Elephas maximus indicus: one gene and its partners. The protein of the gene in region 1 purifies or fractionates together with the protein of each later gene. This does not show direct contact. Links are inferred from orthologs where the notes say so. Each region holds a gene or a part of one and is shown in the gene's direction. Other genes may lie near its edges. The genes, in order: CDH2, CTNND1, JUP and CTNNA1.

Region 1 (7,702 bases):
CATACAGACTTCGAGTTACATACTTGGCTATATTTTCCATGAGAAAATATCTCCAAACAAGAGTTAATTAAAGAAAGGTAGGTTTCTCTTCTAGTATTGGAACAGATCACTGCTTCTCTGGTTAAGTACCAGATGAACGGCTGGCTTGCACTTAGCGGCCAGATTGTATCAAAGACATGGATCTTTAAATGTCAGAAACACACTAAATAAGGCCAGATGATCACACTAAGAAAGGCACATGAGAACTGAGACGAGTGGAAAGACAAGCAGAGTTATGTCTCCTATCTCTGCAATATTTCAGAGAACAAAATACCTGAGAACAATGGATACATCTCTAGTTCCATTTAAATACTCTTATTTTTACCTTTCTCCCAACCCATAGAGTTGAATTTTCTAAAGTTAAAAAGGACTCCCCAGAATCATTTTATCTAAAGAACCTAGGTAAGAGTGGGAGGATGAGAGACTGGGTCCCATGCTGGGCCCCCTGCTTGGCAGCTGGTAGCTTTGTCTAACTTTTTAAGCCTCTCTTTCCCTGTCTGTAAAATGAGATGACTGCAGAAAGCATCTTTAAGTTTCATTTAGACATCCCATGATTCTAAGAAAGGTAAGTTCTTGGGTGGTGCTAACGCTTAATTGGCTTGGCTGCAAACCCAAAGGCTGGAGGTTCAAGTCCACTCAGGGATGCCTTGGAAGAAAGGCCTAGTGATCTACTTCCAAAAACACCAGCCGTTGAAAACCCTGTGGAGGAAAATTTTTACTCTGACACACATGGGGCGCCAGGAGTCAGCATTAACTAGGAGGCAACTGGTTACTGGTTATGAGAGGGATATTACTCAAGGAAGGTCAGCTCTAATGTACATCAAAGATAATTGGGAAGAAAAACAACTTTAGATGTACTTCATAAGAGGGAAGGGACAATGCTAGATGCCAGAGATAAACAACTGTGAAGTTTCTGCCTTGAGAGTAATGTGGCCAGGGGTGGACCAGGGTATTGCAGGCTAGACTCTTACTTCGTGGAATTTGTTTTAAAATTGAAGACCCTTTTACACAAATCTCCACACGATGTATTTGTACTTTTAGTATCTCCTGTTTGAGAAAACACAGTATGACAAATAGTTATTATGATTTTATTTTGAAATGAATGTTTCAAATTTAGCATCTATATGAAGCCCTGGTGGCTCAGCGCTTAAGAGCTCAGTGGTTAACTAAAAGGTTGGCAGTTCGAATCCACCAGGCACTCCTCAGAAACCCTATGGGGCAGTTCTACTCTGTCCTATAGGGTTGGTTGCTATGAGTCAGAATCAACTCGATGACAATGGCTTTTTTTTTTTAGCATCTTTATACATACAAAAGATGGCATATATCCAGAAAATATTTATTCAGTCTGGCCACATTTTTTGGTACACATATACATTTACAGATTTCTTCCAGTAAATCGGCAGCTTCACAGGTCAGAAATCAAGGGACTAGGTGGATTTTATGTATGTGAGCCCAGCCTTAGTTTTCATTAATTTTATTGGTATTAAAACCACCTGGCTATCTCTCTGGGTCAATGACAAGCCCCTGGCAGCCCCTGAGCCCTACAGGCTGATGGCAAGCTAGTCTTCAGGTTGGCAATCCTTTGAGCAGCTGCTAAAAATCTGAGAAACGAACAGCCCCACTAAATCTTAAGTATGGTACTATCAGAGTAAACTGTGTTAGATGCCATAGTCAACCATAGATCTCCTCTTCTTAACAGCAAATGGATACACAAAATCTCCAATAACATAATTTTAGACTAGGCTATTCCTTCTCATGATCAAAGAGCAATTAGCAAGATTTGGCTGACCACATCAGGCAAGATTCCAAAACAATTCATAACCTTTGAAGAGTAAGAGGCATGCAAGTTAGATAAAAAAAAAAAAAAAAAGCTGCAAGTGCTAACCTGTGTGATCAAGCACTGTAAGAATCAGAGAATTAGTTGACTGATCAGCTTTCCAATACAGAATTTGAGACCATAATAAGAGTTTAGTTCATAGGGGACATGATGTTTAAAGCTTCAAGCAGATAATACTACCAAGCAATAGAGTTATTTATGCTGGTTTCTTCCAGCTTTAAATTAATCAGAATGGCAATAAACACTGATGGCTACTGCTGAGAGTGGTAAGGATTTAGCTAAGACCAGGTGTCCAGGATCACAGCTTAACTTCTAGGGATGGAGCTGAAATCTACAAATCCCATCTTGGAACCCCACAACAAAAGATAACCCTGTATTGCTACTGAATGTTTCACTATTATGTATGACTCCCTAAAAATGGAATTTATAAATACTGTATTGCAAAGATAACTTTTAGGTAGATTAGCAATATAGCATGACAATAATAAAAATACCTAGCAAAGAGAAAGAACAAGCACTTCTTACTGTATTAGACAAGCCTTTCATCTTTTTTAATTTAATTAACATAACCTTCCTTATACTAGGGGGGAAGAAAATCCAAGAAAAAATGTTTCTTAGAAAAATGACTTACAATGTTGTTTTAATTAAAAGTTAACTTCTCTATGAATATTACATATTTAAAAGCATAGCCAGGAATAATACATTATTAAAAGTTGCATCAGTTATGTCCAAGATATTAATACTTGATTTTTAGAGGTTCATCATCATGTGGTTTTAAATAATCAGTGTTCTGAAACTCAAAGTGAATACTTCACTGATCTAAATTCAAAGAACGTGAATATGTCAGTTAGCCAACGCAGAACAGGAAACACTAAAGGCAAAAATGTTTATTAACTACAAGGAAGTTCAACGACCTCCAAAGTGTTGCAACGTTGAGATAAAAGGATATTTTTATTTACCTGTAAGACCTTAAAAAATAATAATAATAATGGTTCCTAGAAAAAAAAAAAATCTCGCCAAAATCAACTGCCCCTTTCCACTCCACTCCCCCATTAGACAAATGCTTGTGACCCAAATAGTCTCTCACTTTTAATATTCCACCCCGATCCGTTATTTAGTGTGAATTCGGTATCAGTCATCTTATCTTTTAGATAATCCTATTTTTACCGCGTGTATTTCAGGTTCTGGCTTTTGGATTTTTTTTCTTCTTTGTTGGAAGAGGTGCAGGGAGGGAGTTAAAGTTCCTAAAACTGCAAAAAAAAAAAAAAAAAAGTGCACCATACCTCTAAAGGGGTAGAAACATAAACGGATCATTTCTTATACAATAACATGCGCCTGCAAACTCCCAGAGGTGACAAAACAGGAACAGAAAAACTTGGGCTACTCCAGTACATCCGCGAGGGTGGGAGCTGGAGAGGCGCCATGTCCAAAAGAAGCCACGGCCTCTGCGCTCCTCGGCCCGCAGGTGGCTCCGGGCAAGTGCCTCTGACAACAATGGCTAAGGTGGGCTTTGCCTGCGTCCCTAGCTTGCTGTGGCTGCCCCAATACGAAAAATAACCTATCTCCAAAAACAAACAAACAAAAAAATAACAAAACAGAGAAGCGGGCGTTAGGCTGCCAAGGAAGAACCCCCATTCCTAATATCCATCAGATTCCCCACCGCGGTCTAAAGATAGCGAATCAGCCACCGATCAAGTTTCTGCGCAAGTTATTTTATTTCCCGCAGTCCCTCCACCTGCCGGGGCGGTGCTCCGAGTACTCCAGGTTCCCTCCGGCGACCCCCCGCGGGCTGCAGCAAAAACGGGGCGCTCCGGCGGCGCGGGGGCGGGCGGCTGCCTTGGATCCGGCCGGCAACCGCCGCAGCTCGCTGGCCTCCGATTGGCCACCACGCGGGCGGGGGAGACTCGGCGGAGGAGGGAGGCGGGGGCGAGGGCGGCGCGGCGGCGGCGGCGGCGGCGGCGGGAGGGGAAGAGAGCCGGGACCCGGCCGCGCAGCCGGGCAGCGCGTGCGGCGAGCGCGGATAGAGCAGCAGCTGCAGCTCGCCCTGGTCGCGCTCTTGGAGGCCGAGCGGGAGTGCGCGGCGGCGGCGGCGGCGGCGAGGGCGGCGCGCGCAAGAGAGCTGCGCAGGGCGAGGGCCGGCGGGCGGGAGCCGGAGCGCGAACAGCAGGGGCGGCCGCGGCAGCAGCTGCGCGGGACGGAGCCGCGGCGGTAGGGGCCGCGCCAGCCCGTCGGCTCATCCCCGCGCGGTCAAGGCCAGAGAACAGTCTTCAACTCGCCGGGCGACGGGAAAGAGGAGCCGAGAAGCGGCTCTCATCGCCAGGCAGCTGCGGCGCCCGGTTGCGGGACTGCTGCTCTTTGTAAGCGCAGCGCGCACGGCCCGCGGCGCTCTTCCCGGTGTCTTCGTCGCGCCCAGCGGCCCTGGAAAGGGGACCCGGAGGAAGCACAACCACGACCTCGAAACCTCGCGGCGGAGCTCTTAGGGAGCGCCATCCGCTCCACTACCACCTCCGCATATTACACGGGCCAAGGTCCCCGCAGCCAGCATCCCTCGCGGCTTCCGCCGCGCTCCGGGCCAGAGCTGAGTCGCCGGTGCTGCCACCACCCTCACAGATACACACACACTCCCCCACACGCACGCACGCCCGCCTTCTCCCCCGCCCCCTCCCCAGCTCCTTGATCTCTCGGTCTGTTTTATTACTCTTGGTGCGAGTGCCGCGGACTTCGCGGCCCGCTATTTGTCACCAGCTCTCTCTCCATTGGCGGGGAGAGGAGAGCAGCGGCGAAGGGGGTGGGGTGGGAGGGGAAGGGAAGGGGTGGAAACTGCCTGGAGCCGTCTCCGCGCCGCTGTTGGTGCTGCCGCTGCCTCCGCCGCCGCCGCCTCCGGCTTCTCGCTCGGCCCCTCTCCGCCTCCATGTGCCGGATAGTGAGAGCGCCGCGGGCCCTGCTGCCGCTGTTGGCGGCCCTGCTCCAGGTACGCTGCGGCCCCGCGGACCGGGCCACGGGCGGGGTGGGGCGGGAGGCGCCGGGTCCCTTTGTTCCCCGCGCCGCTGCGGGGCCGGCTGCGCACTCGGGAAGGGAGGTGCCGCACCTCGCGGCCCGGAGTTGCGCAGGAACGAGCCTCCGCCGGGGCACAGGGGCAGGACTGGAGGGGCCAGCAGGTCCTCCGCGCTTCTCCTGACGGGGCCCAAGGGGGCCGATCGCGGGGCATCCTCTGTGCCTCCTTGGGGCTGGAGGAGCTCGCGGGGGGTTGCAGAAGGGTGAGGCGGAATATTTCCCAGGTTTTGCAGTTTTCTGTGCTTCTTACTCCCTGCATCACACTTTGCTTTTTTTTTTTTTTTTAATTTCTGCAGAAACGGGTCTCGAGTTTGCAGTTGAAATTCTCACTCTGGTGTCTTAGTTATGGGTCTTGCCTCCACCCCACCCCACCCTAGCAGCGCGCGCCTCCCGGCGCCCAAGGGCTCCACTGTCCTATTGTCTTTATCCCAACCCAGAGTTGCTTCCTTTTCTTGTTCTCTCCTCCAAACAATGTTCTGTGTCAATCCCACCTGGAAAGAAAACCTCGCCCCCTTGTCCGGAGAGGTCCCTGCGTGGGTCCCTGTCTGTCGGCGTCTCGCACCAGCCCCTAGCTCCGCACGCCTTTATCCCCACGGGCGGGGAGAAGTTCCGTTACTCGAGTATTATTCCTCTCCCTTCCCCAGGCTCGCACTGACCCGCTTGCGGCCCAAAGGCGCCTTCGCCGGGCGCTTTCAGCACTTTTCACACCCTTGGGAGAGCCCTCCCAGCCGTTCCATTTTATCATTGCTAGGCTCCCTTCCGCGGAAGGAAGCACCTGCTTCAGGCGGGTCGCGGGCTCCCTCCTGTCTCCGCGCCTCCGGTCTCCAGCCCGGCTGGCCGCCCAACTTTCCCGTGGCGACCGGCCCGAGGATGCCGTGAGGCCCCTCCCGGCCCGCCAGCGGGGCCCCGGGAGGCTGTGCCGCACAACATCAGCCGAGACCCTCGCGCTGGGCGGGTGCCATACCGGGACCTGGAATTTGCCCCCGCCTGTGCGGGTCAGAGGCTGCGGGAGAGGGGCGTGTCCGCCTTCGCCTGGGGCCACGGCCCCTGGGTAAATGCAAACGAGCAGTGGGTGGGAGAGGCCAGCCGGTGGGAGCCCTGAAAAGTGCGGGCACGGTTCAGCAGTGCCCTGGCGCCGGGGGCAGCTCGGGCGAGAACAGATGGTGCGGCTCGCTCCCTCTGTAGTCTTCACGGGTCAGGAGGCGCGCTCCGGCCACTGGGGGAGTGGTGGCTGTGGGCGCCGGCGGCGGGCTGGGCCGGCGCCCGCGGTCTCTCGCGCTTTCTCCCACCGCCCTCTAGAGGGGTGTGGACCGCGGCCGCGCCGAGCCCTGTCCATGGTGCGCGGTGGTGCGGCGCGCCCGGCCCTGCCCTGTCCGCCCTGCTCTGCACTCTCCTTCAGGTCGCGCTGTCTCACTTTCCGGTTCGCTCTCAGCCACTGGCTCCTTGGCCGCCTGGTCCTGACTTTTCTTTCTCTTTTCTTGGGTCTCCTTTTGTTCTTTCCTCGCCTATTGATATTTCTCCTTCCCCTTCCCCCACTCGCCAGACCTTCCTAGGCTCTTTCCTGACTCTGGGATTTCGAAACTATTAAACGAGACACTTTTGGCCTCTGCAGTTTTGGGGAGTGGATGGAATTTCTTCTAACTTGGAGGAGGAGACCTGCCAGTCACTTGCTAACAAAAGTACCTCCTGTTATAAAATCGCCCTTTATTCTTGGAGCGCACACTCCTCATTCTTTCACCTCCTGTCACTTCATTTATTATTCTCTAAAAAAATGGGGTTTATTAAAGAGGTTAAGCTGGGGGGAGAGAAGGAAAAAGTGCTACTTTTTTAAGTGTTTGAAGTTAAGACGAACTTATGAATTCTGTGCATACCAGAGTTTTCTTTTCTTTCTCCTCTCCCCCCCCCCTTTTTTTGTCGCCAAGGAAATACTATAGATCAAAAAATCTTATTTTTAAAAACAATATTTTTGGACGTCATTGAGTGATTTTACTTATTAACAAACCACGTAGTAAATCTTCAGCATGTGAATCTAAGCCATAGGTAGTTATTTTCACTATCTTTTGAATCTGCAAATGAGTTTTAATTAAACACTATGCAAAGGAGTTAGGACAGGAGGAGACATCAGTTGGTCGTTCATACCTGTGGGACAGCCTAATTATGTTATGATTGGAGCAGTCTTATCTCCACCCTTAGTCATCTGCCTTGAAGTCAGTCGTGAATTTCATATGTCATTTCTTATTTTTTCTTTGCATTTTTCATATTGCCGTCTGTAAAAGTCAAATAATGTGCTTATCTTTCAATTACGTGTGCTTTCTTGGTTTCTTCTATGCTGATTTTTGCCGTTTATAAACCTTTGTGAAAAAAGAAATTAAAACTTTGTCATCAAGTTATTTGACAGTCTTCTCATTCTCTAGTTGAAGCCAGGCAGTAACATTGAGTGATTTGGAAGGTCATCAAGAGTGGAAGCAGCGCAGTTTATGCAACATGAGTTTTAGGGTCAAGAGCTCCATGTGGATTGTAGGACGGAGATTAGAAATGCCTTTGTGCTAACAGTCTGCTTTGCTCACCAGAACAGCAGAGATCTATCCGCAAGGTGAAAGTGGCCTCTCTGCAGTCAGTCCTCTGCTGCTAAAACTGTGCTTGTTTCAGACCATGCTAAGCCAGCTAACAGTTTAGGAGAGAGAATGTGTAGGTTATTAGTGTAGATACAGAGCAATCCTGTTTTTCCTGAACAGTTAAAAAGAGTGGTTGAATATTAAGAAAGGGCTTTAT
Region 2 (7,644 bases), on another chromosome or scaffold:
GTGTATGTGGTGATGGTGGTAGGTGGGGAAGTTAAACTTTGAGGGTTGTAAAACCAAGCACTGAATGTAATATTTCATGCTTTAAAAACAAAGCAAAGCAATGCAAAGCAAAGCATGCAAAAAGAAAGAAAGAAAAAAAAATTCCACAAACAAAAAACAACCCTGTGTCTCTAAAACATATCCTCAAACCCATTGTCTTCCCTCTGTTTTGACTGCTACCACCTTCATCTACTTCCCTATCTCTGTAACTTGACCACTGCAACAGCCTTTGAACTAGCTGACTTACTTTCACTTTTGACCCTCTTTAACTTGTTATATAAGCAGCCAAATCTTTTCAAAATGTGAGTTGGATCATAGCCTGTTGTAGCCCATTGCAGTGGAATTGATTCCAACTCACAGTGACCCTATAGGACAGAGTGGAACTGTCACATAGGGTTTCCAAGGCTGTAATATGTATGGAACCAGACTGCCACATCTTTCTCTGGAGGAGGGGCTGGTGGGTTTGAATTGCCATCCTTTTTGTTAGTGGCCGAGCACTTAACCATTGTACCACCAGGGCTTCCCCTCTGACCCATGTTGTTGTTGTTAGGTGCCGTGGAGTCAGTTTCGACTCATAGTGACCCTATGTACAGCTGAACGAAACACCGCTCAGTCCAATGCCATCCTCACAATCTTTGTTATGCTTGAGCCCATTGTGGAAACCACTATGTCAATCCATCTCGTTAAGGGTCTCTCTTGTTTTCGCTGCTTCATATTCTGATCCCACTTCTCCCCCGTCCTCATTTCCAACATGCTCTGCCTGGCCTAGTATGTTTCAGCCCCACACTGCAGGGATTTGTCATTAGCAGTTACCTCTGCTTACTGCTCATATTTTTCTTCTAGTGGTTGACCTGTATTTATCACTCAAATTTCAACCTAAATGTCACCCTTTCAGAGTTTGTCTCTGACAGCCAATCTAGAGTAAGCCCCAAGTCATTCACATTCCCAACAGATTCTCATCAATCTGTTTTAAATTTCTGCATAGCATTCCATTCGACATTATCTTACTTATTAATCTTCTCTTCACAGCACCCCCCACCCCAGAAGGTAAGATTTAAGAGAGCAGGAAACTTGCCTATCTTATCATTCTCCACATCTAGAAGAGTACCTGACTCAAAGTAGCTGCTCAAAATAACCCAAGTGGAACTAGTCTTTTTATTTCCTATTAACTGAGTGTAAATAATTTTTCCCTCAGTCAGTGAGTATTAATACTCGTGATGCTTTATTTGAAGATGGCTGTTTCAAATAAATTTAAATTTTACCATTTAATTATCTTTTTTTGATTTGTGTATCATTTCATTTTGAATGTTATGTACAAATTTATTAATACTAAATGACTTGTCCAGAATTATACAACTAGTAAGCAAAAGAGAGTTCATTCACTCATTCAGCTACTGCTAAATATGAGATATAAGGCTGAGCTCTAGGGATATACCATGAACAAGAAGGACAGTGGCCGTGTCTTTATGGACTCATCTTTTGGGGGAGAGACAAGAAAACATACTCATGCATTCACACACACATAAAAACATGGAAAAAAAAGACAAAATACTTGAAAGTTTTGAGTAATGACATGTGTAAGAAGTAAACAAGACTAATCCGTCTCGACAGTGAGCTGGGCTACTAACCAAAAGGTCAGCAGTTCAAATCCACCAGCTGCTCCTTGGAAACCCTGTGGAGCAGTTTTACTCTGTCCTATAGGGTCACTGGGAAACCCTGGTCGCATAGTGGTTAAGTGCTATGGCTGCTAACCAAGAGGTCAGCAGTTCAAATCTACCAGGCGCTCCTTGGATACTCTATGGGGCAGTTCTACTGTGTCCTGTGGGGTCACTATGAGTCGGAATCAACTCAACTGCAGTGGAGTGGGTATAGGGTCGCTGTGAGTCAGAATTAATGGTAGTGGGTTTGGGTTTTTTTTTTTTAATCAAGCTCTAGAAAATTCTGTATAAAATATGGCTGTCATCTAGGAACCAATGAATAAACAAACATTTCTCTTTCTGATTGTTTCCTTTGATTATCATCTTTGGCTTTGGAACTTGCTATAGAGGACCAGGAAACCCTGGTGGTGTAGTGTTAAGTGCTGTGGCTGCTAACCAAAAGGTCAGCAGCTTGAATCCACCAGGTGCTCCTTGGAAACTGTATGGGGCAGTTCTACTCTGTCCTATAGGGTCACTGTGAGTCAGAATCGACCCAATGGCAACAGGTTTTGGTTTATAGAGAACCAGGAATAGATGGAGAGTAGAGGTAGAAGTGGGGCCCGTGTGGCGCAGTGGTTAAAGCACTCAGCTGCTAACCAGAAGGTTGGCAGTTTGAACCCACTAGCCGCTCCTCAGGAGAAAAATGTGGCAGTCTGCTTCTGTAAAGATTTACAGCCTTGAAAACCCTGTGGGGCAGTTCTACTCTGTCCTCTAGGGTTGCTATGAGTTGCAATTGACTTGAAGACAGTGGATGTGTTTCTTTTTTTGGTTTAGAGGTAGAAGATATGAGAGAAGATTCTTAGATTATGTGTTAAGGACTATTTATTCTTTGTTATAATGTACTCATTTCCTACTATTCTTTGTTTAAAGCTCGTCAAACAAGTGCTGTGATGCGTGGTTGATCTTCCAACACTTCTGAAAGAAATCGTTTTGGGCCACTACAGGCCAAATATGAGGGTCTGTAGGACTCTAAGGAGCCGTAATGGCACAGTGGTTAAGAGCTAACCAAAAGGTCAATGGTTTGAATCCACCAATTGCCCCTTGGAAACCTTGTGGGGCACTACGAGTTGCAATCAACTTGACAGCAGTGGGTTTTTGGTTTATGAGAATCTATACCAAATATGGGGGGGGGGGAGTTAGCTAATGACTACATCAGCTTGATTAGAAGGGCACAGTCATGCTGAGGGGGAGTGGAATTCCTGTTTAGACCGATAAGGAAAGGTCAGATCATAGTTAATAGTGTTACTTTAATGTATTGAAAGAATAAATGTGATACCATGAAAGCAGATGAGGAATTTGGCCTTTATCCTTAGGACAGTGTAAGGTGATGGAAAGAGCACAGCTTTGGAGTCAGATTGATGAGGGGTTCACTTCTTCACCACATGAGCTCAGGCAAGTTGCTTAACCTTGCTAAGCCTTGATTTCTTATCTATAAAATGGAGGTAATACTATCTCCATTGTGCTGTTTTAGACATTCGAGACAATGAGTGCAAAGTGCCTCTTACATGATAGACTGTCAATCATTGGTTGCTATTATTGGGCAATGGTAAGCCATTGAAAGTTTTTGGACAGGGTAGTAATAATAACTCATTCTTAATGAGTTTATACTATATGCCATACATTGTTTAAGAACTTTAACTCTCACAGTAATCCTGTGAGAGATATACAGTTATTATCCCCATTTTATAGTTAAGGAAACTGAGGCTCAGAGAGATTATCTAACACGTCCAAGGTCACATAGCAGTACACTTAGTCGAGTAAATACGTGTACTTACAGAGATAGACCTTGAAGCTAGGTGGTCTACCTGCAGAACCTATGCTCTTAACCACTATTATAGATTGTGAAAACTTTATGAAAAAGATTAATTTGGCTGCAGTCTACAGGGCAGAGTTTGAGATTCTTCAGTAAGAAAGAAAAAGGAAATCTTAATTCATCATTAGTCACTGAATGATGGTAAAATACTAATCTTTGTCAACCATATTTAAAAAAAAATTCAGCCCTTGCCCTTCATGGTCTTACAGTCTAAGGACATATTAAGAATATCTCTTAACTCAGAAGAGGAATACCCCTATAGTCCTTTATTCAGGTCAAGTGTCAAAAGACAATGTATGAACATCATCTTGAGCTTGGAGTTCACACTGAAATAGAATTTTCTTCACGTGAGACTTGGTCTTCCTTATACATGCTGTATTCCCTCTAAATATATTGCTCAGTATTGGATTCCGTTTACTTTTCCTCTCAAACCCACATTATTTTGATTTGGGGTCAAATGGGAACACAGTGATATTACTTAGCAGCCCAGTGGATTCAGCGCCCTTCTAGTTGAAACTGTAGAGACTAAACACTGTTAACAAGCCCAAGCATTTATTTTTTTCTAATTAGCTCTAATGCAATTAAACCAAAACATTGAAATTGAGAGTTTACCTCCCAGATATCCCCTCCCCATCCCATTGGCACACAGTAGTCCTGTTGTGAGGATTTGTCTCTCCTTCCCTTCCGGTCTTCCTTTGAGGTAGAAAGCAACAAATGAAACACCAGCAGGCAAATAAAATCAGCTCTTTTCTGTTTCCCCACCTGGAAAGGAAGGGAGAGGGAGCAAGAACCCAACCATCAAAGATAACTGGCTTGGATGTGCCATTCTTAGAAGCCCTTGTTCCCTCGCCCCCCGCCCCCCCGAAGCTCTGCAGTAATTCCTCGGAGATTGTATAGTCTCTGCTTTAAATATATATATATGTATAACTTCCCCCTGTCTCTTTCTCTCCTCCTCTCTCTCTTTTTTTAATTTCCTATAATAAAGTTTCCTATTGGATAAGGTCAGCTCCCTGATTTATGCCTGGCTCCTATTGGAAGTTCTCAGGGGCTGACATCACTTAGGAAAGCGAGGGGGTAGGGCTGCCAGATCAGTTTGTCACCACCCAGGCTCCCTTGCCTTTGGCTGGGTGCAACTTCCATTTTAGGTGTTGGATCTGAGAGAAAAAAAAAGAGAGAGAGGGAGAGAGAGAAAGAAGAGCAGGAAAGATCCTGAAAGGAGGAAGAGGTGGCGAAAAATCAACTGCCTTCCTGGATTTGTCTTTCTCAGCACATTGGCGAAGCCTTGGGTTTCTTTCTAAAAGGATTGGTTTATAGAAGTCCACGTTTGAGGTGTGTGCCTTTTAAAACAAAAATGTGTTACAGAAGGGGAACGGAGGGTAAACCAGTCGAATTTTTGTTTTATGGTAACCAGAGGGAATTTAAAAACGAGAGCGAGTCTGCTATGCTGAGGGGTGACTTTTAAGCAATTATCTTTTTCTTTCTACCTTCAGTACTTTGGGAGATTTTAGTATTTTAGTAATATTAAAAAAAGGCAAAATATGCAAGACCTGGAAACAAACTTCTAGGTCTCTCTAATACAAGGAGACTCTAGATCCAGAGGGGTAAGAGCAGTTCTGTAAATTTACATTTTTGTGTGTTCTTTGATTTTGTATTTTTTTTTTTCTGGATTTAGCTAACATAGTTCTGTGCTCAGAGCCCAAACCAAAAATTGGTTTTTTGGCATGTTGCGTGTGGGTTGGGAAAGGAATTTGTCCGGGTTGGGAGCTAGTTTTACAGATGGTTCTTCATATGTTTCAGAACTTCTTTTTTTGTTCTTTTATCGTTGAATTTGTGGAAGTGGAAAGTTGCAGGGAGCTTTGCAGTGTAAATGGTGGTGTTTTCTCCCCGGAGAGTTTGAACGGCCCAGATCGGTTTCTGCCCTGCTGTTCCTGGGTGGATCCGCCTTTTACTTTTCCAGGTGCGGTGGGTGGGAGCCTTACTCCTGCTAGACGGAGCCTCCCTGTTTTGCCTTATAAAAGAAAACAAATGGTTCCATGTTAACTGAATTGCCATCCCCGCCTTCCTCCTACAACTCCTTTGATGGCAGAGATTTGTGGAGGTGTTGTATGTTAAATCTGCAAATACGATAAACGTTTGGTATATGTGCTTAAAGGGATAAGGAAATTCTAATCATGCCTTTTAGTTCACCTGAGTAAAGTAACAACACACCTGAAAGTATTTTCAGCTTTGTGCTCTCTGAGAGGGCAACGGATTAAATAAGGTTAGATTAAGAGAAACCACTTAAACAAACTTTAGTGTTTAAAATGCATTTGAGAAAGCCCAAGGAGAATTTGTTTTTAAACCAAACAGAAAGTTGTTTTTTGGAGGTGAGTTTTTTGTCTGGTTAATTTACCATGAAATCAGAAATGTGTAAGAGCTGAAGGCCCATGTCTGCTTTCTTATACTTAATCTTAGGATTTGTTTTGTTTTTGCAAATATATTCTTACAAAAATACTGGTTCTAGAGAGTTATATAGGTAGCTCATGAAGAGCTGAAAAGTGGGACGTTCTCTTCCTTCTGTCTCTGAAAATGCTAATCAGTCTGAAAATTACAGCTGGAATAGATACTGCTCTAATGGTAACAAGATGGGCCTTAATGTGTAGACTGCTCATTAGCTTTAAGCTGGCATGTATCTTTAATAATTCCCTGATTCTACCCCCTGCTTCCCAATTCTAGAACACTTCCTTGGATTTCTTTTTAATAGAATGAGGGTATTTCTTGAAAGATGACTCATCCTTCTAACGTTGTGGTTTCAGAGGAAACAGAACTTTGTTCCTCTTTTTGATACAATCTACACAAGGACTATAGCAAAGGTTTAATGCCTCGATCTCATAATTGTACCAAGTGCAGTTAAAAAAAAAAAGACAACGTGTACAATCTGTTGGGCTGGAGTTCTTGTTTAATATTTTCTAAATTTTCTTTCCAGTGTTCTATTTGCCTTGACACCAGCCTAGGGAGGTTTCTTGTTGGTCTTTGGAAGGTTGGTCATGTTGCTGCCAGAGTGTCGGTTTCCCACTCAGCCTTTAGGGGGAGGGATGAGGGAATCTGAAGGAGTACAAAGGCAATTTGAAAATAGGTTCTGGATGACTGAGTGGTGGTGATTTGGGTCTGGCTTTAAATACTGGGCTTTGTATGGAGTATCCTAGATAACAAGCATCCAGAACCGTTTCTACCAACTGAAGGCTTTGCTTTGACTGGTGTGTAGTATAGAGCCTTTTGGGTGATAAGAGGGAATATTTATCTTTTACCTCACTTCCATTAGTTCTTTCGGGAAATATAGTATGGGGTGGGGATAAGTAAATCTTTTACATGTATATATATATATATATACACACACACACACATGCGTTTGTTTTGTTTTGCTCCTCGTTTTGCTTTTGGGGTAAGAATGAAGACAAATATGAGTTATGCAGATTGTCCTTTCCTCGTTTGACTCCTATAGACTGTTGGTTCCTTTGTTACATGTGTTCCAGGTGGGATGGGTGCCTTCTGGGAGGTGAGAGTTCTAGTTTCTTTCTTAGGGTTCCATTTATGGAGAGTCAGACGAGAACATGATCTCTCAGCTAGCACAAAATTGGGACTATGGGAGACCTATTAAAAAAACAAACAAAACTCCAAGCAATTTCAATCCAGCCTTAGGTATATGAGGTATTTGCTCTCTAGGGGTGGTGAGATAGGATGGATACAGATAAATTAAACATAGATCACTATCAGTTGGAATAACAAAATGATTACCTCCGTATAATTTATTGCCTTCTATTTTGGTACCTGATGATCCCGTTACTAACCTACCCACCTTTTTTTTTTTTTTTTGAAGAACTATGGCTAGCATTTTACATGTACTATTAATTCCCTACAACATCCGTTTTTTAAGAAAACTGAGCCTCAGAGAAACTTGACGTTTGTTGAAAATCTTTACAAAGTCCATGGACTTAACCACTAATACATTGCCATTCTCTAGAGAAAAACAGCCAGAACTAAAATGAGCCCTTGCTAGTCTTTGCTAGTCTTCCAGGTTGGGGTAATGTATGTAAAAGATCTGTTTTCCTTAAAGCC
Region 3 (7,996 bases), on another chromosome or scaffold:
GTTTGGGAGCCCAGGGAGGTGCTTCTGCATCCCTGTCCTCTCCTCCGGCCCTGAAGGGGTCACCCTGAGTCATCCCACCCTTAACACGGGGTCGGGGGCAGGGGCAGGGGCAAGATGGAAGTGGAGGCCCACATACCACCGGTCTAAACATTTAAGCAAAAACTACGTTAAATAGGGTTTATCTTGATGAGTATACTCCCACAATGGCCTAAAAGGTCAGGGTGGAATTTAGAATTCTGACACTCCTCCGCAAGTGGCAACCCCCAGGAGAACTGCTCCCTGGCCCCCAGCCCTGAGCCCCAGGACCATCTCCCCTTCCTGTCCCACCCCTGGCTCTACCCACAACAGGAAGGGCCTCCAGCACATATAATGGGTGCAGATAGCCCAGCTCGCATGTCCTGCTCCCTGGCCCCAGAATAACTGCAGCCCTTGTCACCTCTCTGGCTTAAGTGTACGCATACCAGCTATGATGCGACTGTCCTTCTCAGAGGAACAGCCAGAATAAGGGGCCCACAGGCCCTGAAAGCCAAGTCAGTGCTGGGCAAAGGATTCTGAGTTTTGGGTACCAGGGCGTGGTCCCGAAGGGAGAGGTGTGAACTCTGTATGCTTGTCCCTTTGCCCTGTGTGGAGGGGCACAACCCCAGCAGGACCAGAGTGGGGGCCTTCTGAAGGCAGGACCAGGACAGGAGCCCTCTTTCCCCCTGGGCAGAGAGATGCCTCTAGGTTTTTGTATTGCCTTTGATGCAATGTCTGCAACCCAGGAAGAACTTCCAATTGTCTGCTCTCCTTTTCTTCTGCTGAAAAGCCAGGGGAGAGGCGCCAGTGTGATTAAAAAGTACCGCTATCGGCCTGAGGAGTCCCTGGGTGATGGTGACACACATGCTTAACGTACTCCGCTGCTAACTGAAAGGCTGGCAGTTCCAGTTCACCCAGATGCACCTCGGCAGAAAGGCCTGACGATCTACTTCGGAAAAATCAGCCATTGAAAATCCTATGCAGCACAGCCCTTCTGTGACATACGTGGGGTAGCCATGAGGCAGAGTCGACCCCATGGCTACTGGCACTAGATCAGCCTGAAGTTTGACACTGTTCACCCTTGCCCTCCCTCTATAGAGGTGGCCACCCCTTAGGCCACCTTAGGCTGAAGAGGAGAGGAGAAGGGTGTGTGTGTGTGTGTGTGTGTGTGTGTGTGTTTGTGTGTGTGTGTGTGTGTGGTGGGAAGGGAAAACCGAGGTGTCTGGTGTTCCTATATCTGAGTCTGTATCCGTGTGTGTCCATGAGTGTGTCCCTGAGGTTTGAGCGTGGAGGACTGTGTGGGTGTGTGGGTGTGGGATCTAAATCTCTATCTGCCTCTGTCTGGGGAAGGGGCCCTGCAGGGAAAGGGCTGTGTCTGGACAGAGAACAGACATTCTTCCACCTCCTTATATGGCCCAGAGGCCTCCTGGACGGTGAGGGGAAATGAGATAAGCTGAGGAGGGGTGGCCTGGCTGTCCGGACGTTGGCAGTTGTACACCTTCTCCAAGAGAAGCGCCTTCCCCCTCCCCTACCAGTTCCACTCCCTCCCGAAAGCCCCTCTTTGGACCCCTTTGGCCATTTACTTCTGTCTCTGGGACAGCTTGGGATAGGCCACCTTGGTGCCTTTTCATTCTTTACTCTGAGGCCCCAAAAAGCTGCAAGGTTGAGTTAACCATGTGTTTTTGGTAGTTCTGGAGCTTCGAGCAAGAGACATGAGTTTAAACTGCAGGAATAGGAAATAGGCTAGACGTTAGAAGGAACTTCTCTCTGTTCGAATAAGGAGACAAAGGCATTTAAAACTAAGGGAGAATGGAGAACTTCTTTTGCCAGAGATTTGTCAAAAACAGAAATCCCTGCCTTTAAAACCGTGGAGGCAGGGAAGTGGATATGATGGCCATGGGGCCTTTCCTTCACTTCAGTCAGTCTTCCTGAAGAGACTGTGGTCACAGTGACCCCCTTCTGTCTACCTGCACATCTCCTCCCCCATGAGACCAAAACCCCTATACAGACAGCTGATTTTAGTCAATACAACTTGCTGTGTCCTCAGTGTCTGGCAAGCACATTGTAGGTGCTTGATAAATGTGCAGAACATTTCCTGATCTGGGTGGGGGTACAGCTCTTATCCCAGTCTTCCCTGCTGCTCTTGTGGGTGCTTCCACCCAGCCCCAGTCTGTGTGCTTAACTTTGAGGCCAGCGTGTTGCAGCATGTTCCAGGGTGAGACATGCAGGGAACATTGCTGGGAAGACACACACGAGCACCAGTGGTGCGCACACGCACACACACACACACACACACTTTATCCTGAAGCCTTATTTCTGCCCTTCCACTCCACCCAAGCTCCTCCACCCCTCTATAGTCAGCCAGCCCTACCCCACTTATATGCTGAAGTCAGGAGAAAGAAGAGGGAGTTAAGCTAGGCTTGGGTTTGGGAACTGTGTGTGTGAGCGCGCACGCACGCACGCACACGCACGTGTGCAGGGGTGGGAGGGTGGGCAGGAGAGGTGGGAGGGAGAGGAAGTGACATCCTTCCACAGTGGTGACAGCTTAGGATTCTGAGCTCTTTTCCTCTGAGCTCTTTTCCTCCCAAGCCTTGGGCTGGCCACTGCACTGTGTGGCAGGATGGAAAGCAAGTGGGTGGGTGGGGGTAAGGTAGGGATAACAATGCTGAGACCGGCTGGAAGGGGGGCGGGGTGGTACAGAAAGCCAGGCAAAGGGCAGTGGCCCTGGCATGTGTTCAGGAATGTTGACGTCTCCCTGGCCCCCTCCAGGAAGACTTCTTGGATGGCACGAGCTTCAGAAGGGAGAATGTTAGCCATAATTCCCTCGCTGGTGGGGAAAGTGGTCAAAGATGCTGCTGGGGTACATTCACCCGGCCCTATCCTGTGTGTGCTAGCTTTGGAGCTATAGTTTTTTGGGGGGCGGGATTCCTTTCCTGAGCAACCACTCTCCCTTCCCTCCCCCCACCACAATGCACACACACACACACACACACACACAAGCTGAATGAATGAGTGTCTGTAGGATCCTTGACATACTGTGCAGCTACCAGCGGGCATTCATTTTATCGACCACAAAAATAAAATACTGGACCCTGGTCTTAACCTGCCTATCAGGAAGTTCTATCCGAAGAACCCAGGCTCTTCCACCAGTGAGGGGCTCAATGCCCACGCCTTCTATGCCAGTGATAGATTTTCTTTAGATCTGCTGCCTTATTTCTTCCAAACTCACCAAAGTCTCCTTACACCACGTTACGGATTGAATTGTGGCCCCCCAAAATGTGTGTCAACTTTGCAAGGCCATGATTCCCAGTATTGTGTGATCGTCCACCATTTTGTCATCTGATGTGATTCTGTGTGTTGTAAATCCTAACCTCTATGATATTAATGAAGCCCTGGTGGCATAGTGGTTAAGAGCTCGATCAGCAGTTCAAATCCACCAGTTGCTCCTTGGAAATGCTATGGGGCAGTTCTACTCTGTTCTATAGGGTCGCTAGGAGTTGGAATTAACTCGAGGGCAACAGGTTTGGTTTGATTTTAGGGTGTGTTGTTAATGAGGCAGGATTAGAGGAAGCTATGTTAATGAGGCAGGACACAATCTACAGGATTAGGTTGTATCTTGAGTCAATTTCTTTTGAGATGTAAGAGGAAATCAAGCAGGGACCTCCTACCACCAAGAATGATGAACCCGGAGGGGAGTGTGTCCTCTGGACCTGGGGTTCCTGCATTAAGAAGCTCTTAGGCCAGGGGAAGATTGATGACAAGGACAGAGAGAGAAGGCCTTTCCCTGGAGCTGGCACCCTGAATTTGTACTTCTAGCCTCCTAGACTGTGAAAGAATAAATTTCTCTTTGTCAAACTCATCCATCTGTGGTATTTCTGTTGTAGCAGCACTAGATATCTAACACACACCAATACTTCATCTTTGTTTCAAAAAATCGCTCTTCAATGTCTCTCCAAGTGTTGTTTTTGTCTCTTCCCACCCTTTCTTCATTGCTTTGATATTTTATTCCACCAGGTGAACCTGTGATTTGGTGGGCCTTGTAATTAGAACAGTTCTAGCTTTAGGATGTGCCACTTTCTAATTTTGTGTCCTTTCTGGACCTCAGTTTTCTCCTCTTTAAAATGAGGATAGTTTTGTTGTCCTAGCAATTTTCCAGAATTGTGAGAATTAAAAAACCCGTAACATGAATTTAAATTCTAACATTTAGCAGTTATCCAAGTCCTTTCACAAACCTTACTTTATTTATTCCCCACACACCCTAATGAGATAGTTATAATTAATGTACCCACTTTACAGATGAGGAGAAACAGGCGAAAGGTGAAGTAACTTGTCTAAGATCATATAGTCACTAAGTGGCAGAACTCAAACCCAGGCGTACTAACTCTAAATTCCATGAGCATTCATTTCATCTTTAGGGGGAAAAAAAAATTCCAGCCCAGCAAAATGCTGTATGAAATGCTATAAAAGTATGTTTTTACTACTTTGGGGCAAAGATGAATAAGCCCAAAGAAGCTTCATGCCTGACGCTGAGTTAGCAGGCCAGTGAAGACGTCTGTCCCTTCCCATGGCGCCCTGTGACTCACCTGTTGGACAGGTAGGGGGAAGGGAGAGTCATGAGTCTTACCTGCTCAGAGCCAGGGTGGGGCAAGACACACCCCATCCCTCCCATTGGTTCTTTCCTTATTCTTACTGACAGTCCCTTGCCCAAACAAGAAGAAGTAAGCCCCTTTCAGCCAATAGGTGCGGAGCTAGGATGGCATCTCAAGTTGGAGTCCGTCCCCAGAGGCGACTGGCAGTCCCTGGGGCCAATGGCAAGTCGATAAACAGAGGCGGCCGTGGTGGGGGCCTGAGAGCGAGGCTCCGCCCGTTGATGGGACAGTCATGCGAATTAACCAGTGAGCTTGCTTCAGCTGGTGGGAGTCTCTCTAGGGGGCGGAGCTTCGAGGGGGCGAGAGGCGTGGCTTGGCTGTCAGGTCCCTTCGCCTTTTGTTCGGTTACTGAGTTGCTGCCTTGGCCAGAGTCCGGTGCAGCCGCCGCCCGAGCGCGCCGACCTCAGTTCGCTGCCCGCGCCGGCCCCGACCCCGGCCCGACCCAGACCCGGCCCGGCTAGGCTCACACGCAGGTGCGGACGATCAGGGGCAGGGATCGCTGGGGCGAGGGAAGGGGCGGCGAGGGGCCAGAAGGTCCCAGCAGTCTCGGGGCAGGTGAGGGCGGGTGTAGGGGGCGCCACCCTGCACCGGCGGCAGGGGGCGCGCTGGGGTCCTGGGCGTGGAGACTAACGGAGCGCGAGATTCCGGCCCGGCGCTGTTGGGGGTTTCGGGATCTGGAGATCAAAGAAGGTCCGGGAGGGATCAGGGCAGGTGCTTCCAGAGTCGTGTCTTCCTCGGGTCGGAGAAGCCCGCCCGACGCCCGGCCCCTGACTCTCGCCCTGAGCTTTTGGGGAAGACTTTGACCTGTTCCGCCTGCGTCCCAGGGCGCACTCAGCTGTCAGGAATTTACGGTTTGGGAAACTTGCTGCCGCTGGACTCTTTGGGGCCACCCCTACCCCACCCCACGCGTCATCCTCGCTTTCCCTCCCTCCCTACTCCCCCAGGCCTGGGTGGGGCCCTATTGTCTGCGACCGGCTTGCCCAACTGTGGGGGCCAAGCGCACAGTTTCACAGAGACGCGGCCCCCACCTGCCGAGCAGGTGAGCGCACCGAGGCCAGAGGCCCAACCCTCCCTCTCTGCGAGCCTGGTCGGCAGTGTACCTGGGGCGCCTCCCTTCGCTCGGGTGGGTGCCGGGCTGTGGATCCCCCAGCGGAGGTGGGATGGGGCAACAATGAGGCTGATGCAGGGCCCTGCTCAGTGCCCAGCTGGTTTCTGCCCCCCGTTGCTCGATCAGGATCTTGGCGGAGCGGGTCTCTGCGTGGGTAGAGGTTTCAGGGCGGAGGGGTCACCTGGCCCAGTTTCCAATAGCTTTGGCTCCCAGAGTGTTCATATGGGAACAGGGCTACTCTTCCTCTCTAACCTCTTATTTTTGGAAAAATCACCCAAAGCAAACTTTCCAGGAGGAAGTATTCCAGAAGGAAGATTTCTCTGGGGGCTTTCCTGCCTCTTTGACCAGAGTGTCCCCCAGACTTAGAGGGACCTTCTTGTGGGGCAGAAAGCCCCTTTCCCCAGCTGGCCCCAGGCTGGCCCAGCCTGTCCTCCCTGCCCAGCCCCCCATCCTGTTTGCTGGGCCCCTGGGGCCTGAGGTGGGGGCCGATGGGGGGTGTGGGCCAGAGGGGAAGCAGCTTCTTCCTTCTTTTCCTGCCTCCTGGGGGACCACCACACCCCCTCCGATGAGGAGGCCTGGGCTAGTAGCCCTCCCTCCCAAGCTCTGCTTCCCCCACCACCACTTAGGAATGGGGGTGCGGTGGGACTGGGCCAAACTGACGGGGTGGGGGGAGTGACTGTTCTCATTTTCTTTCTATACCCCAACGCCCACGCTGTTTAGCTGGCTGGTAATTGAGGCCGAAGACCTTGGAGCTGGGAGGCTTGCTTTCCATTTGACTTCTGAATTATGAAGGTGCACTCTTTGTGGAAGCTTGTGCAGTCCTTTCCCCACCACCTCCCTTTCCTGAGAGATTTTGATGGGTAAAGTGGGCTACGAGGAAGGCTTCGCTTAGGTAGAGCTGCAGAGCTTCACTAGGCCCTCCCTGCCCCCCTCATTTCCTGAGAGCCCCTCTCCTCTGGCCCAAGTTAAAGATCTCTACCAGGCTTTCAACAATATCTTTTCAAAAATCTAAGGTGTGGTCTTTTTTGGAGGAATTTGGAGCCCAGCTTCCCTGGGGGACACAGAGGGAACAGAAGAGCCAGGCTGTCCCTCCGTCCTGGGGAGCAGGGGTGGGTGGCGGGAACATCACTTGGCTTGCCCTGACTCACTGGGGACCCCTTCTTTCATGGCTATGGATGGGAGAGTTAGGGAAGGAGGGGAGTCAGACCTGGGAACCCAGCTGCCCCCACCATGGGATGCCCTGGTAGGTAGGGTGCCCTGGGCTGAGCAGGAGGCTGGAGAGGTAACCCCAGGACTTCTCTGTTCGTGGGGTCTGCACCTCTGGGGAGCCACAGGGGCATGGAGTTTGGGCCCAAATAAGTTGTTTACCCTCCTCTCAGTGCCAAGGTGGAGAAGGGGAAGGTGTTGTAACTACCGAGGCTAAATAATTAGTTTAGCTAATCTGGTTTGTGGCTGTGATAAAAAGTTAATACTGAGGAAGCATCGCTGAGAGGCGCCTCATGAAAACCGGCTGCTTACTGGAGGGGAGGGGGATAATAGAGGAGGGGAGGGGGATAATAGAGGAGGGAAGAGGAATAAATAAGGTAGGATCAGATTAGTCATTTCTTGCTAGATCAAGCCCCAGCTTGGGTGACCTGAGCCCTCTCCAGCCCCACCTCCACCCCGCACCCCAGCCCCACCCCATCCCCCCTGGAACCTCTGGTAGGGCTGCCAGGACTGAAGCTTTGAGAAAGCAGCATGTAGGAATGAAGGTCAGGCTGGGCCCTGGAGCCTGTTTTTCTTCCTGGAGACCCCTGGAGGGGAGTACAGGTGTGGGGAGAGGGGATGCCTCTACAGGGCCTGGGAGGGACTAGGGAGAGGATCCCACTTGGAATGAGCTGGGACAACTGACTAGTGTACAGAAGGGCTGTTTTTTGGAGTGGCATTATAGCGGGGCAACTCTGGGCACAGGGATTTGGGTTGGACTGAGCTGGGTTTGAATGCCACCTTTGTCACTCAGTACCTATGTGGCTTTGGTCAATCACTTCATCTCTCTGAGCCTCAGTGACCTCCTGGGTAAAATGGGACAATAATAACTACGGACCCAGTAAGTGAGGGCAGTGGTGGATGAGTGGTAGGATTCTTGCCTTTCATGTGGGAAACCAGGGTTCTTGTCCTGGCCAGTGCTTCTCATGCACAGCCACTCCCCATCTGTCAGTGGAGGCTTGTGTGTTGCTATGATGTT
Region 4 (7,728 bases), on another chromosome or scaffold:
GTGTGTGACCTGTGCAGTAGCATAGGGTTCTGTGCTTACAAAGGCCCCGTGCGTGCTTGGCCTTGTAAAGGTTTGCCTCTCCTGAAGTGGTTCTCTGCCTACCTCATGGTCCTATTGCCCTTTGTCAGTATCTTTTAACTACTGCAAACCATAGTGCTTTGAATTACAGTGGGCACTTTTACTCATATTAGGTCACTGGGCACTTCCTAGGGGAAAGGAGTTGTACTAAGTGCCGTAGGGGATACAGCTCCTATCTTCCAGGAGTTTGCATTCTCTAGGGGAAAGGAGTTGTGAATAGTAGATGCTGAAGGCAGGATAAGCTTTAGCTTATCCATCAGCACAGAGCCAGCAGTGGATATTGTTGTCTTGGATTATTTTGGATTTATAGGCCAATACTGAAATCAACCCGGTTCATCATTCCATGACTCATGAGAAACATCATTGGGGTTTTCCATCTCAGGCTCATAGTAAGTATATAGTATGTTTTGTTTTGTGTTTTTTTTTTTTTTAAAGGAGTATTCACCATAAAGGATAGGAATAAAATTTTCTAAGTTTGCCACAGGTTTGTCATACTGTGGGGGGCTTGCATGTTGGTGTGATACTGGAAGCTATGCCGTGGGTATTCAAATACCAGCAGGGTCACCCATGGTGGACAGGTTTCAGCTGGGCTTTCAGACTAAAATAGACTAGGAAGAAGAACCTGGCAGTCCACTTCTGAAAAAAATTAGCCAGTGAATACCCAACAGCAGAACACCCTCTGATATAGCGCTAGAAGATGAGCCCCTCAGGGAAGGAGGCACTCAAAAGACAACTGGGGAAGAGTAGCCTCTTCAAAGTAGAGTCAATGATAGTGAGTGGATGGAGTCAAACTTTTGGGACCTTCATTTGCTGATGTGGCATGACTCAAAATGAGAAGAAACAGCTTCAAAAATCCATTAATAATAGGAACATGGAATATACAAAGTATGAATCTAGGAAAATTGGAGATCATCAAAAATGAAATGGAATGCATAAACATTGATATCTTAGGCATTAGTGAGCTGAAATGGACTTGTATAGGCATTTTGAATCATATAATCATACGGTCTACTATGCCAGGAAAGACAAATTGAAGAACGGCATTGTGTTCATCATCAAAAAAAGCATTTCAAGATCTATCCTAAAGTACAACACTATCAGTGATAGAATAATATACATATGCCTACAAGGAAAACCAATTAATATGACTAACCCAAAAAACCCACTGCTGTCAAGTCTATTCCAACTCATAGCAACCGTATAGGACAGAGTAGAACTGCCTAATAGAGTTTCCAAGGAACACCTGGCAGATTCGAACTGCCAACCTCTTGGTTAGCAGCGATAGCACTTAACCACTACACCACCAGGGTTTCATAATAATATGACTATTATTCAAATTTATCCACCAACCACTAAGGTCAAAGATGAAGAAATTGAAGACTTTTACCAGCTTCTGCAGTCTAAAATTGATCAACACACAATCAAGATGCATTGATAATTACTGGCAATTGGAACGTGCAAGTTGGAAACAAAGAAGGCTCAGTAGTTGGAAAGTATGGCCCTGGTGATAGAAACAATGCTGGAGATAGCATGATACAATTTTGCAAGACCAACAACCTCTTCATTGCAAATACCTTTTCTCAACAACATAAATAGCAACTATATATGTGGACCTCACCAGATGGAATACACAGGAATCAAATTGACTACATCTGTGGAAAGAGACGATGGTAAAGCTCAATATCATCAGCCAGAACAAGGCTAGGGGCCGACTGTGGAAAACATCAAGTTCACACTGAAGTTGAAGAAAATTAGAAAAAGTTCATTAGAGCCAAAATAAGACCTTGAGTACATCCCACTTGAATTTAGAGACCATCTCAAGAATAGATTTGACGCATTGAACACTACTGACTGAAGACCGGATGAGTTCTGGAATGACATCAAGGACATCATACATGAAAGAAGCAAGAGGTCATTAAAAAGGAAAGAACAAAATGGATGTCAGAAGAGACTCTGAAAGTTCCTCTTGAACATAGAGTAAAAACCCACTGCTGTTGTAGCTAAAGCAAAAGGAAGAAATGATGAAGTCAAAAATCTGAACAGAAGATTTCAAAGGGCTGCTCAAAAAGACAATTATAATGAAATGTGCCAAGACCTAGAGATACAAAACCAAAAGAAGAACATGCTGGGCGTTTCTCAAGCTGAAAAAAACTGAAGAAGAAATTCAAGCCTCAAGTTGCAATATTGAAGGATTCTATGGGGAAACTACTAAATGACACACGAAGCATAAAAAGAAGATAAAAGGAATACACAGTCATGTACCAAAAAGAATTGGTTGACATTCAACCATTTCAATAGGTAGCATATGATCAAGAACCAATGGTACTGAAGGAAGAGGCCCAAGCTGCATTGAAAAAAGCATTGAAAGCACTGGCGAAAAACAAAGCTCCAGGAATTGATGGAATACTAATTGAGGTGTTTCAACAAATGGATGCGGTGCTGAAAGTGTTCACCCGTCTCTGTCAAGAAATTTGGAAGACAGCTACCTGGCCAACCGACTGGAAGAGAACCATATTTGTACCCATTCCAAAAAAGGTGATCCCACAGGATGTGGAAATTATCATATAATACTAGTAATATCACGCACAGGTAAAATGTCACTGAAGATCATTCAAAAGTGACTGCAGTAGTACATCGACAGGGAACTACCAGAAAGTCAAGCTGGATTTAGAACAGGATGTGGAACCAGGGATATCCCTGCTGATGACAGATGGATGCTGGGTGAAAGAGAATACCAGAAAGTTGCTTACCTGTGTTTCATTGACTATGCAAAGGCATTCGACTGTGTGGATCATAACAAATTATGGATAACATTGTGAAAAATGGGAATTCTAGAACACTTAATTGTGCTCATAAGGAACCTGTACTTAGACCAAGAGGCAGTCGTTTGAACAGAACCAGGGGATACTGTGTGGTTTAAAGTCAAGAAAGGTGTGCGTCAGGGTTGTGTCTTTTCACCATATTTATTCAGTCTGTGCTAGCAAATAATCTGAGAAGCTGGACTATATGAGGGAGAAAAGGGCATCAAGATTGGAGGAAGACTAACAACCTTCCATATGCATATGCACAACCTTGTTTGATGAAAGAGGACTTGAAGCACTTATTGATGAAGATCAAAGACCAGAGCCTTCAATATGGATTACACCTGAACTTACAGAAAACAAAAATTCTAACTACTGGACCAATAAGCAACATCGTGACAAATAGAGAAAAAAATTGAAGTTGTCAAGCATTTCATTTTACTTGGATCCATAATCAACACCAATGGGAGCACCAGTGAAGAAATCAAAAGACACATTGCATTGGGAAAATCTGCAGCAAAAGATCTCTTTAAAGTGTTAAAAAGCAAAGATGTCACTTTAAGGACTAAAGTGCACCTAACCCAAGCCATGGTGGTTTCAATTGCCTCATATGCATATGAAAGCTGGACTATGAGTGAAGAAGACTGAAGAAGAATTGATGCCTTTGAATTACAGTGTTGGTGAAGAATACTGAATATACCATGGACTGCCAAAAGAATGAACAAATCTGTCTTTGAAGAAGTACAGCCATAATGATCATTAGAAGCAAGGATGGCGAAACTTTTTTTTCACATACTTTGGCCATTTTATCAGGAGGGTATCAGTTCCTGGAGAAGGACCCCATGCTTGGTAGAGTATAAGGGTGAGCAAAAAAGAGGAAGTTGCTCAACGAGATGTATTGACACAGTGGCTGCAACAATGGGCTCAAGCGTAACAACGACTGTGAGGATGGCGAAGGACTGGGCCGTGTTTTGTTCTGTTGTACATAAACTCGCTATGAGTCCGAACGGACTTGAAGGCACCCAATAACAACAAGTGCCTTGAGGGATAAGGATAGAAGCCAGGACCCTAAAGTGTGTGTGTGCGTTTGCGTGAGAGGGGGGCATCCTGGGGGGGGGGACGCTGCTATAAAAAAATTTCGCGACCAGGAGGAGGGATCCCGGTTTCCCCAACTGTTGAGAGGATGGATTAGGTGATTTCTAGGGCGATTTCACCTCACAACCTAAGAGATCCCCAGTGTTTGATTGTAGTTCCACTCTGCCTTAAGCTGTGGGACCTTTATTTAGCCTCAGTTTCTCCTTAAGTAAAACTAGGGGACGAACCTAGTACACTTTCCTGGGAACGTCTGACTCGGGGACACCTGTGCCACTTTTCGAGGAGCGTGCCCAGGACCTCACGTTGCCGCGCCCAGTGCCTGGGGCACCGGCCAGGGGCTGGGCTTGCGCGAAACCGTGCCCCGAGACTCACCTGTGCGCAACGCGGTGACTCACCTGCCCTCCCCCACCCTCCCCCGCGGGGCTGTTCTAGGAGTCGCCGCTCCTCCTTCCTCTCGGAGGTCATTCCAGGCCTGAGCGCCCACTACAAGCCTGGAATGAAGTGACTGGGGTGGGGAGCTGAGAGGAAGAAGTCCTGAGGGGGTCCGGGCCGAGCCCTGCCAGAGGGCCTCTTCGCGTCGAGGCTCCCCCATAAAGCGGGGGCCAGACGGAGCCGGGAAAAGCGGGCGGGGCGGCGGCTGCGGCGGGAGGCGCCGGGAAGAGCGCGCCAGAGGGAGGCTCCGGGAAGGGCGGGCGGGGCCGGGGCCGCGGGGCGGGGGGCGGGGGGCGGGAAGGGGCGGGGGCGCCGGGCGGCCCATTTCCTCCTCCGAGCCCGACGGGAGGGAGACAAAGCGGCGGCTGTCGGCCTCGGTGCTCCGGTCCTCCCGCGCTCGCCCCGCTCGCCGCAGGTAACTCTTCGCGCGAGCTCCCCAGCCGGGCCCGGGCGTCCTCGGGCCCTCCCGAGCGGGCGCCGCCTGGAATTGGGCTCGCGGCGGGCGGGGGTCCAGCCTCCGGCCGGCGGCCGTTTCCCGTGCGGGCCCCCGGCCGGGCCCTGGCTGGCTGGGCGGGCGGGGCCCGCCTCCCTGGCGCTGGAGGAGCTGAGGGGCCGCGGCGGCTGGAGAGGCGGAAGCCACGCGCAGCCGCTGCGCTTCCTCGCGGAAAAGTTTCTCCGGGTTTCTAAACTTCGTTAAAGTGGGCTGGGTGCGCGCGCCGGCCCCGCGCTGGGCCGCCTCGGCCGTTTTCGTGAAGAATCTGCGCGTTGTTCCAGTGATTGTGTGTGTTTGGTGAATTGATTTTTCCGGTGATGTGATTGTTCTCTGGTTTTGTGGTTTCTGTTGCCTCAGCTCCCGTCACGGGCCGCTGAAACTTCACTGTCTGCTGAACCGGGCTTTTGCTGAGCCCGCGCGCGCACCCGCATTCCGGGCCCCGAGCGAATGTGAAAGTTAGTTCTCCCTCTCCCTGCCTTAGCCGTGTTGGTAAGGTGCGCCACACCCGTGTGGACTTTCGGCGTGTACCATGTTAACCTTTCTTGTGAAATTACTGACTTCCTGTGTGGTAAATTGGACGTGCCCTTGTTTTCAAGAGTGACGTTACAGCGTCTTTTTTTTTGTTGACTTTGAATATATCGTGTGTGTGAAAGAGAGACAATAGCACTTGTTGGAAAAAATGTTGACTGAATGCCTAACCTTGGATTGGCAGCCATGGCTTCCTAATAATGCAGGCAGCACTTGGCCCAAGGCCAGGATGGACACCCTTGTGTCCTCCTGCGTTTTCGTAATATTTTTGTATTTGTTTTGTAGAGGATTTACAACAACTTAGAAAAGACGGTATGATGCATAGCCCTCAACTAAATAAAGAGCATTTCATAATTTTGTTGAAGGAAATGATTACATCATTATTTTTTGACAGGATAGATGTTTTGGTGAGAGGATATTTTGTGCTTAGCAGTGATTTTTAAAAAACTGTACAGGTGTGTGTTGCTTTAAGAAGATATAAACTTGTAAGTCAAATTTATTAGGATTTGTTGTTTTACAAGAGGAATGAGTGGGGTACCTATCTATAGCTGCTGCCCAATTACTTACCCTTCTTGACTATTGTTAAGTTACAGATAATTTTTTATCCACCTAATTAAGGGTTCACAAATGAGTAAGATATGGTCTGTACCCTTCAGGGTTCACAGTGTAATAGGGGAGGAACCCCCCCCGCCCCGCCCCACAGGGCAGACTTAGATAAGTGCCATAACAGTACTGTTTAAAAGCTTTTGTATGGGTCGGATATACAACAAATATACAAAGAAACTTTGTGGAGGCATAGGGGGAGGGGTAGTTTTCTTTGGAGAAGCTGGGAAAGGCTTCCAGGAGGTGGTGGCTTTTTAACTGGCCTTTGAAACATGAGTAGGGTTTTGTCAGGTGAAAGGAGGAAGTCTTGAGAAGCTTAAAAGGACATAGGATTTCCACGGCAGCGGGTTTGGTTTTGGTTTGGTGGTACAACTCTTCCTGGTTTTGGTTATATGTTTGGCTACTGCTTCTTACTCTTTTTTTTTTTTTTTTTAAAATGTACTCATACACAGGATTTTATCCAGTGTTATTTTGATTCTTTTCTACCTCTACACCATTGATGCAGTATTCACCCTCACTCCTATCAGTAACATCTCATTCCATACAGTGACTTAGAGGTGAGGGATGCCCCCATCCCAAGTGGATAGTCTTCCTGCCATCAACCTTATGTGCTGAAGCCCAAGTCTCTATTGGAGTGCAGATGTCTCTCCTGACCCCCAGAGTCATCCGTGCACTGGATTGCTCCTGGGGTGTCTCAGGGGCTTCTCAAATTCAACATGTCTAAAATGGGGCTCCTCATTCTCTTAATTCTGCTCCATAAACCAGATGTGGAGGTTGTTGTGTGCGACTGTCAAGTCAGTTCTGACTCAGCAATCCTGCACACTGTGCAGAGTAGAACTGCCCAATAGGGTTTCTTAGGCAGAAATCTTTATGGGAGCAGGTTGCCAGGTCTTTTCTCCCTCTGAGCCACTGGTGGGCTCAAACTGCCAACCTTTTGGTTAGCAGTAGAGTGCTTAATGGTTGTGCCATTGGGAATTTCTTTGAGAAAGTGACATTGGTTTGAGGCATGAGGGATAGCCCTGGTTGTGGGGGTTTGTATGTATTCTGATGAAGAGCTGAATGGAGGGAACAGGGCACTCTGCATGTTTAAAAGTCCTGAGACAGGAAAGAACTCCACGTGTTTAGGGACCTCAGAGAAGACCTGTGTAGATTAAATACTCTTAGGTGGAGAGAAGCCTCACATGAGGTTGCCAGGGAGGGCAGGGGCCACGTCGCTCAGGGCTATGTTTGGACTGTATTCTAAGAGCTATAAGAAGCCATTGTAGGGAGTTTAATCATCTGATAACATTTTAAAGAAGATCTCTCTTGCTAGCGTTTGGAGAAGGCTTATACAAGTGGAAATAGGCAGTTAAGCTAGAAAGATGTAGGGGTGAAGGTGGTAGGGATGAAGGGAGTTGTGTTTTGGAGAAATAAGACAGGACTTGAATGTGCATTGGATGTGGGGGTCTAGGTTTCTCGATAAATGTTGTTTCTTCCTTCTTGTACTCTATTACTGTGTTTACTGGTGTATTCTTAGTTATAGCTCTAGATTCAGCTGAGTGTTACCGCTTTCATTTTTGGTAGCAAGCCTCTTTGTGCAGGGTGGTGTGCTACATTGTACTGTGACTTATTCTTGATGTCCCTGCTGGAAAGTGAAGCTCCTTGAAGGCAGGGACTGGTAGCTTTAGCCCTTGGCAGTTACTGGACATGGAGGGCAAA

What was found.
Region 2: the proteins of CDH2 (region 1) and CTNND1 purify together in Homo sapiens (affinity purification with western blotting; 6 studies listed by BioGRID and IntAct, with this or other methods). This does not show direct contact. The link is inferred for Elephas maximus indicus from reciprocal best matches to the Homo sapiens genes CDH2 and CTNND1.
Region 3: the proteins of CDH2 (region 1) and JUP purify together in Homo sapiens (co-immunoprecipitation; 4 studies listed by BioGRID and IntAct, with this or other methods). This does not show direct contact. The link is inferred for Elephas maximus indicus from reciprocal best matches to the Homo sapiens genes CDH2 and JUP.
Region 4: the proteins of CDH2 (region 1) and CTNNA1 purify together in Homo sapiens (affinity purification with mass spectrometry; 4 studies listed by BioGRID and IntAct, with this or other methods). This does not show direct contact. The link is inferred for Elephas maximus indicus from reciprocal best matches to the Homo sapiens genes CDH2 and CTNNA1.

Annotation. Positions count from the first base shown.
Region 1 is NC_064829.1:35,179,929-35,187,630, reverse strand, and holds the start of CDH2 (cadherin-2), read left to right. Parts: upstream 1-4,697; 5' UTR 4,698-4,787; coding exon 4,788-4,847; intron 4,848-7,702. UniProt on the Homo sapiens protein: Calcium-dependent cell adhesion protein; preferentially mediates homotypic cell-cell adhesion by dimerization with a CDH2 chain from another cell. Cadherins may thus contribute to the sorting of heterogeneous cell types.
Region 2 is NC_064825.1:119,135,315-119,142,958, forward strand, and holds the start of CTNND1 (catenin delta-1), read left to right. Parts: upstream 1-4,631; 5' UTR 4,632-4,878; intron 4,879-7,644. UniProt on the Homo sapiens protein: Key regulator of cell-cell adhesion that associates with and regulates the cell adhesion properties of both C-, E- and N-cadherins, being critical for their surface stability.
Region 3 is NC_064837.1:48,807,136-48,815,131, reverse strand, and holds the start of JUP (junction plakoglobin), read left to right. Parts: upstream 1-4,996; 5' UTR 4,997-5,137; intron 5,138-5,316; exon of another isoform or gene 5,317-5,515; intron 5,516-6,492; exon of another isoform or gene 6,493-6,564; intron 6,565-7,996. UniProt on the Homo sapiens protein: Common junctional plaque protein. The membrane-associated plaques are architectural elements in an important strategic position to influence the arrangement and function of both the cytoskeleton and the cells within the tissue.
Region 4 is NC_064820.1:151,825,919-151,833,646, forward strand, and holds the start of CTNNA1 (catenin alpha-1), read left to right. Parts: upstream 1-4,715; 5' UTR 4,716-4,821; intron 4,822-7,728. UniProt on the Homo sapiens protein: Associates with the cytoplasmic domain of a variety of cadherins. The association of catenins to cadherins produces a complex which is linked to the actin filament network, and which seems to be of primary importance for cadherins cell-adhesion properties.